2 linked regions of the Sus scrofa genome follow. The protein of the gene in region 1 interacts with the protein of each later gene in a biochemical or structural test. Links are inferred from orthologs where the notes say so. Each region holds a gene or a part of one and is shown on either strand. Other genes may lie near its edges.

What was found.
Region 2: the proteins of ARFIP1 (region 1) and ARF3 form a complex in vitro, tested with the Homo sapiens proteins (2 studies listed by BioGRID). The link is inferred for Sus scrofa from reciprocal best matches to the Homo sapiens genes ARFIP1 and ARF3.

What each region holds. Positions count from the first base shown.
Region 1 is NC_010450.4:76,267,472-76,271,793, reverse strand, and holds the start of ARFIP1 (arfaptin-1), read left to right. Parts: upstream 1-1,365; 5' UTR 1,366-1,484; exon of another isoform or gene 1,485-1,621; intron 1,622-1,679; exon of another isoform or gene 1,680-1,834; intron 1,835-2,480; exon of another isoform or gene 2,481-2,497; intron 2,498-4,322. UniProt on the Homo sapiens protein: Plays a role in controlling biogenesis of secretory granules at the trans-Golgi network. Mechanistically, binds ARF-GTP at the neck of a growing secretory granule precursor and forms a protective scaffold.
Region 2 is NC_010447.5:14,976,005-14,979,806, reverse strand, and holds part of ARF3 (ADP-ribosylation factor 3), read left to right. Parts: intron 1-1,360; 5' UTR 1,361-1,453; coding exon 1,454-1,601; intron 1,602-2,430; coding exon 2,431-2,541; intron 2,542-2,772; coding exon 2,773-2,897; intron 2,898-3,453; coding exon 3,454-3,615; 3' UTR 3,616-3,802.

The sequences.
Region 1 (4,322 bases):
AGCTCGGATAATAAATATTGTTATTTACTTTTGAAACATTTGTGGTGTCATGGGTTTTTACTGTTCACAGATATGCGGACGATATCTACAGGGATGTACCATTCACTACGCTGAAACTCTCCCCCTCAATTTGGAGAAGCAGAGTTCTGCCTTTGGGCGCTTAGTCAATAAAAATGGCTTGTTGATTAATGCAGCAAGGCAGGTGAGTAGTACAAGTCTAAAGAGAGGGAGATCCCACAGAGAGTACTGTTACCTTTAGCATTTCTGCAAGTGAAATGGCGGTGAAAACGAGCACCCAAGAGCTGTCAAAGGAAAAGCAGTCCAGAACTTTGAAGGGAGATGTGCGCGGGGTGGATCACGGGTCTGTATTGTGTGTAAATGAGCTTCAGGTTTCTCTGCATACAGCGCTGGGGACAGGGAGAACATCCGAGGTACAGGTTGGAGCCTCCTCTTAGGAAACTACAAAGGGCTCTGAAAGAAAGGTTGTTCAGCGGTTTCTGTAGGCAGGGCAGTAATCTGTTTAAGTAACGGGGCGAGCAAAGCTAGCAGAAACTGGTCACCTGGATGAAGAAAGGGAAGCAGGAAAGCAAAGTATCATGGATCCACTGCCTGCGAGCGAGCAGAGCAGAAATGATCACAAAACAGAACAGGTCGTAAGAACTCAGGGACGCAGGGCAAGGGGTTCTGGTCTTCCTGAAGGGGGTGGGCGTGAGTGACGTGGCCAGAGTGGGTCCTTCCAAGCACTGGGGAAGAAGGAAGAGTCAGGCGCCCGCATCCCCTATACTCCATAAATTCTGCATTCTCTCCCCGCCCCCCCCCAAGGGGCTGGAATAACCTTCTATATGCTCTCCGGCAGCTGAGAAATAAGCTTTGGCTCTCCTAGGAGGGCCAGGCGGTGAGCTACCTTCAACCTCCAACCCTCCCGCCACCGGCTCACCGTCTGTTGCCGGGCGCGGGGCGCGGAGGGGGCGGGGGGGGGCGCGCCTAACGTCCGAGGCTGGGGTGTGTGAGTGAGAAAGAAAGGATGCTGAAGGCTTCTGGACCTCCGACCACTCAAGACCAGCCTACGAGTCTCCCCGCGAGCTTGCAACTCTGGCAAGTGCTTCTTTACCCGCGCTCACACCCCTTGGTGATCCCACCGCAGCTAGAAAATTACCCGGGCAACGGCGCCGGCTGAGTCCCGGATGTGGTTGCTAGGGCCGCAGAGGGAGGGGCGGGGCCCGCCTCCCGGAGGGCGGTGGAGGGGGCCTTGGGGGAGGTGCGCCGGCACCATCGAGACGCGGCTGGGCCGGCCAGATCGAGGGAGAGAGAGGCCGTCCAGAGCCACGGACAACGCTACTTCCGGTCCCCTCACTTCCGGCTCCGCTGCTCTCGGCTCGGGGGTTGCAGGCCGGGTTGGGAGGCCGCGGCTCTGCGTGTCCTCGGCCGTCGGTCAGGGTGAGGCTGTGACAGCTGCACTTGCTCCCCGCCCCCGCGGAGCCGAGGTGCGTGGGGGGGAGGGTAGGAAGGAGGAGGCTCAGGTCGCGTTTCCGCTCACTTGGGGCCAGGGCTGAGGCAACTCTGGAGAGCAGAAGGCAGGGCTGATACTCGACGTGAGAACCGCTGGCTTCTCCGCGGACAGGTGAAGGCGGAGATGGCCGGCGGGGAAGAGGCGGGGGAAGGCGGCTGGGAGGGGTTGACGGGGCGGGACACGTTGCCGCTGGGGCTCTCAGTTCCGGACTTTCACTGGGCACTTCTGTCCTTAGTCCGTGCCATCTGTCTCTGCTCAGGTATTCGGCCTTGGATCTCTGCCCCTTCCTCCCTTCTGTCCCACCTGCGTGTGCCGGGTGAAGAGGTAGGACCGGCCCTCCTGGGGCGGCGCCCTCCCGGTTTTGCACGCATCGAGTGGGAAAAGGGGTGGCAGGATCCAGGAGTGGGTCCACTCGGAGTGGGCCACCGTCAGGTTTGGGGGTCCAGCCTTTACGGTTCTCTGCCTTTCCCCGCATCCCGCACTTCTCTCCTCCGCAGTGGGAGGGAGGGAGACGCGGTAGTCCCTGCGAGAGGCTCTTCGGGCAGTGGTGCAGGGAGGCGCCCCGCCTGTGAAAGGTCCTGAGCCTTGCTCAGCTTACGCGGACCGCCAAGGAATGCTGGAGTTGGGAAGGAAGTTGTGCTGGCGTCTCGTCCGTTCCTCTTTGCCAAGTTACTACTGTTTACGTGTCTAGGAAAAAGGATTTTTTTTGTTTTGTTTTAAAGAACTGTTTCTAGACGCTTTTCCCTTTTACTTATTACTTCCTTTGTTTTTTTCTTATCTCCCTCTCGAACCCTTTGATCTCAAAAAAGTTTGTAGTCTGCACTTCCTGCAGATCCTTTAGCCGCCCCCTTTTAGGATTTCTGTCCCCCTCCCTTCATTTTTTCCTAGATTAAAGCATGTCATTTCTCTAACTCTGTTCTAAAGGGAAAAAATGGAAGAGTTGCAGGACTTCTCGTGAACTTGTGTTTTCACTTGCAAGTGTGGCAGGTGTGTGTTCACATTGCAATTTAATTAGCTTTTTTGGCATGGGAACGTGCGCCGGAATTGGTTACGTTAAATCATTCCTGTGTCAAGTCTGCAGGGATTGGCTATTTTATCGCTGCTGTCTCAGAGTGAATACAACAGATTCTACGTCACTATTGTTTTAAATTCACTTTTCTTTTGTTAGTCCTGTGGGGTTTTTTGGTTTGTTTGTTTTTCCTTTCTTTTCTTTCTTTCTTTCTTTTTTTTTTTTTGCTTTCCTTGCTAACATGGCCAACACTTTCTCCCAACCACTACATCTAACACTCCATTAGCTGAGAAAATATGTCTCATTTTATTTTATTTTCTGGGTTAAAATCTCTGCCTCAGTTACTTTCATCTTTTCAGATTGATAAATTAGTTTGCCTTAATCCTGGGTTGTGCTTTGGGGTTCCATGGTCTAGGGGTCAGTGACTTTCAGGGTGTTTCCTCACCCCTTCACCCCCCCCCAATTATGGTTGAAAAGTTTTGTTTGAGTGCGTTTTCAACCCCGCTGGGGAGAATGTCCATTTTTTTTTATCAAATTCTCAAAAGAGGTATATAACCTTCAGATAGACTAAAAGGCACTCCTTAGGTAGTGTCTTTTTGAAGTTAATGAAACTTTTTTTTTTTTTTTTTTTTTTGTCTTTTGTCTTTTTGTTGTTGTTGTTGTTGTTGCTATTTCTTGGGCCGCTCCCGCGGCATATGGAGGCTCCCAGGCTAGGGGTTGAATCGGAGCTGCAGCCACCAGCCTACGTCAGAGCCACAGCAACGCGGGATCCGAGCCGCGTCTGCAACCTACACCACAGCTCATGGCAACGCCGGATCCTTAACCCACTGAGCAAGGGCAGGGACCGAACCCTCAACCTCATGGTTCCTAGTCCGATTCGTTAACCACTGCGCCACGACGGGAACTCCAGAAGTTAATGTAACTTTTTGTGTGGAGCTATTATTTTTTTAAACTGTACACAGCTAGTTTTGGGCACTGAGGAGAGTAGAATGCAGAGATTCTAGCTTCATACTGATGAAATCTCCAGCTACTTCAAAACTTCGGTGTTTCTAAATTCCTTCCTAGACCTAGAGAAGGAAGTAAGACTACCTACTTATTTAGTTCCTGTTTTGTGGTATTGAGGTTTCTTTATAGGGATAGCTGTGTGTGGCCAGTGTTGTGGCAATCCACTGGATTTAGAAATGGATAAGTTTATTCTTATTTAATACATGTTAAAGATCACCCACCCACTGGGTACAGTTGAGTAAAAAGTTTAAATTTCTGGTGTACTTTGTTTTCCTTTTCTTGTCTTTCATTTGAGGCGTCTGCTTTGGGATTTGGCATGGTTAGGAAGGGCAAATAAGATGTTCCCATGGCGTGGTCCATAAGCCTCTGTTATGTTGCTGCCCATCTTGACATCTCTTTTCCCTCCATATCACCTCTGTATTAAGTATTTATTGGGCATTCTCTTTTGAGAATAAGTTAGTGGCCTTCCAAAGTTTATGTAAGTTTAGAGTGCATATTCGAACTTACTGATTTGATGGTGAAGTGTTTGTTGATTAAGGGTTGATGTTCTAAATGTTTGACACCTGTTTCATAGAATGTTAGAACTTGAAGAGACCTGTGCAGCTCATCATAGTCCTTATTAGAGTAACCAGCTTCTGCTCACGAAATAATTTTCCCTCTATCTAGCAGCCTCACTTTGGGGGGCAGGAAAACATAACTTTAAAAAGAGTCAATTATGCTAAATTAGTTTTCTTTTATAGCAATGAGAAAGACAGAAGATAGATTATATCTGACACCATAACACAAATTAGCATTTGT
Region 2 (3,802 bases), on another chromosome or scaffold:
ATTCTGCTACTATGTGCCAGGCACCAGTCAAGTACCAGGAATACAGCAAGGAACAAAATAGATAAGGGGCTGACATTCTAGTGGGAGGAGAAAAACAGTACAGCAAGGAACAAATCTGCAACGTGTGCAATGGTGATAAATGCTGTGCAGAAAAGTGAAATGGGATAAATGGGGTAGAGAGTGGTGTGTGTGTGTGTTATAGGTGGTTATGGAAGGCCTCTTTGATACAATGACAGTTGAACAGACTCCTGAAGGAAGTGAGGGGGTGCTTGAGCAAGGTTGTTTGGGAGAGGAGCATTTCAGGCAGAGGGAATAGCAAAGACAGAAGCTTTGAGGCAGCAAAGCATTGAGGAATTGGAGTGGAGAAAGCCGAGGGGAGAGTGGTAGGATATTTCTGATGACAGAAATAGGAATGCCAATCATGCAGGACTTTGTAGGCCATGGTAGGACTTTGGATTTTACTAAGGGAGATAGGAAGCCAAAAGAGGGTTTTGAACAGAGGAGCCACATGACCTGATTTGGGCTTTCACATTAGTCTGGCTGCTCTGCGGAGACTAGACTGAAGGGGTTAGAGGAGAAGCAGGGAGTGAGAGGACTGCCTCAGCACAAGTGACCCTGTGGAGCTGCTGTCCTGGGATGGGCCACGGCGAGCCTCGGACCTACCTGGGTGAGGAATGAGGGGTAGCCTCACCCCCTGCCGCCTCCCAGCTCTCAGTGCGGTGTTGTATGAACAGGGCATGATTTTAGAGGCTGGCATTTCAAAGAGTGGAAAGCCTCAGCCTCTTTTAAGAGCGTTGCTTTCTTAGTTTCTCCTCATGAATTTTGATGTGTAGAAGGAAAGTGTGGAAGTATAGGAAGGGAAGAAGCAGTCTCTTGATTAGAGCAGAGAGCGTAAACCTTGGGAACCTGGCAAGCCTGGACCTTGTTGGGAGTCACAAAGAGCCACTCCTCATTCCACTCCCTCCTCTCCCACCCTTTCCAGAAGTCTCAGGGTAAGGTGGGGGGAGGGAGCGGCAGTAATGATCTCTCGACGCCTTGGGGTATAGTGTGGATGTCGAGACCGAAGGGACTTTAGAAATCGTCTTGTTCCACCCCCTCCGCTTACAGGTGCAGATAAGGACAGGCGAAGTAGCTCCTCAAAGTCACTGGCAGAAGCAGAGGTCCTTAGCGTGCACTGCTTTGTCTCTGCTCCCAAAGGCTCAGGATGTGTCTGAGTGGGCCTTGCTCTTCACAGTACCCTTAGTACCGTCAGGCTCTCAGTTTGTCATGGGTGAACTCCAGCCATGACTTTGGCAACTCTCATTCATACAAAAGCCTGACAAGCAGATGGTGCTAATGAGTTGACATTTTTTTTGCCTAGAATCAAGCCCTCCATACCAGGGACCAGACCAAAACCAGACCGCCGCTGCCCCTCCTTGCACCCGCCTGTCCTCAGAAAGCAGCTGCTGTGATCATGGGTAATATCTTTGGAAACCTCCTCAAGAGCCTGATTGGGAAGAAGGAGATGCGCATCCTGATGGTGGGTCTGGATGCCGCGGGGAAGACCACCATCCTGTACAAGCTGAAACTGGGCGAGATCGTCACCACCATCCCCACCATTGGTAAGGGCATGGCTCGGATGTAGGCTTTCAGGCCAACAGCTGAGCCAGAGCGGGGGCCTATTCCTAGATCCCCCCACCTGGCCACCAGGCAGGGCCCTGCAATTTGTGGGGTTCGGGGAGGGTGGTTATTTAGCTCACCAGCAGGTGCTGGGGCTGCCGTTTGCCCACCTACCCTGGCCCTCCCTGATGCAGGAACTTCCGCAGCCTGGCACCCAACAGTGGCCCTCAGGCTCTGAGCTGGTTTGTTCTCTGTTTTTTGAAAAGCAGGTGAAGGGCTTTGATGTTCCTGCCAGAGGCCTGGAATTGTTTCAGTTTAGATCCCTGGTGGCCCTGATCCCAGTTAAGACCTGCCTGTGGGAGGGAGAATATTTGCCCTGTGGAGGGGGCTCCAGATCATCATCATCAGCTGGTTCTGCGTTGGGGGCTCTAGGACTGTGGCTCACTTCCTGTTCTTCACTCTGTCTCCCAGGCCCCACGTCTCAGCTGAGGCAGATTCTGGTGGCCAAGGTACAGGAGTGGGGCTGAGTCATTTCTTTGCAGGAGGGAGAGTCAGAGACTGAGAGAACGAGGCGGGAAGGTTGTCTCACGTTGCCCAGGTGATGAGAACTTCCTTCCTGGCCTGACCCTCTTTGTCATCTTCCACTTCTCTCAGGTTTTCTTTTGGACCTTTACATGCCTAAGCCAAGGCACACCAGGCCTGAGGCAGCCTTAGCTTTCTCTCCCTTGCAGGGCCCCGGCCGTGGCTGGGGAAACAGGAACAAACCCCCCAGGGCGTTGTTTGCAGGCCTGCGGTTTCAGGCTAAGTGACCATTGTCTGCTTTTTCCAAAGGGTTCAACGTGGAGACGGTGGAGTACAAGAACATTAGCTTCACAGTTTGGGATGTGGGTGGCCAGGACAAGATTCGGCCTCTCTGGAGACATTACTTCCAGAACACTCAAGGTAGGGCATGTGAATTTCCCGTGGACTGGCATGGGCTGTTGGGTGTGAGCGAAGATTGTGGCTGTTGTTTGTTTTTGGTTATCAGCAGCTGACTCTTACCCTGCTGCAGCTCCTAAGCGTGGGAGAAAAGGGAGCAAATATTTGGAGGCTGTGAGGAGGGTGTTGTCTTTTGCTGGTGGGGGAGGGGAGTTGATCTTTCGTCTCTGTGCAGCCCATGCTCTGCCTCCCCAGGGTTGATATTTGTGGTCGACAGCAATGATCGGGAGCGAGTAAATGAGGCCCGGGAGGAGCTGATGAGGATGCTGGCAGAGGATGAGCTGCGGGATGCTGTGCTCCTTGTCTTTGCGAACAAACAGGTGAGACATCTCCCTACCCCTGGGTTTGAGAGAGGGCAGCCTGGCCGGGGAAAGCATAGGGTCTTACTGTGTGGAAAGCCCTGTGACTGTGCTCTCAGTTTTGAAAGTGCAGGAAACAAGATGAGTTGGCTCCTGTAGGCCCCTTTTCTGTCCCTGTCCCAGCTTTAATGAGCAACATGTCCATCGGGAGGGATTGGTGTGGTAGGTACTTCACCTCCAATCCCTGTTTTATCTTCCCTATTGTCCACCTTAGTGGCCCAGCCCTCGCTCCTGTGGTCGGACAGACCCGCTTGTTTGCCCGGTCTGAATCACCTCTCCACTTCCCTGCCAGCCCCGGATTTGGTTTCCAGCTCCTCGGTGGCATGACCTTTAGTGCATTGGATCTGGAGTTGTAGGGTGATTAAATCCAAGGTAGCCCTTGAGGCTCTTGCTCTGGGTTCCTAACCGAAGGAGGATGAGAGGGTGCTGGTACACATCCCTTTGGTCGATGGGTGGCTCTTTTAGAGCCTTTGAAAGATCCTGAGGCTCCTTTTTCTGTGTTTTCCTCGTGCTCCAGGATTTGCCTAATGCTATGAACGCTGCTGAGATCACAGACAAGTTGGGCCTGCATTCCCTGCGTCACCGCAACTGGTACATTCAGGCCACCTGTGCCACCAGTGGGGACGGGCTGTACGAAGGCCTGGACTGGCTGGCCAATCAGCTCAAAAACAAGAAGTGAGAGCCAGGCAGCCCTGTCCGACCACCACCCTCCCCCCACTGTCCCTGCCCCAGCCCTACCCTTTCCTTCCTGTTGCCAGCGTGGCCAGGCCCTGGGTATCATGTCCGCATGCCCAACGAGAGCCTTGCCTCCCCTGCCCTCCCCTCCCCCCATCCGTGACCAGTCCCAGTTGCTGTCCTGATGATGA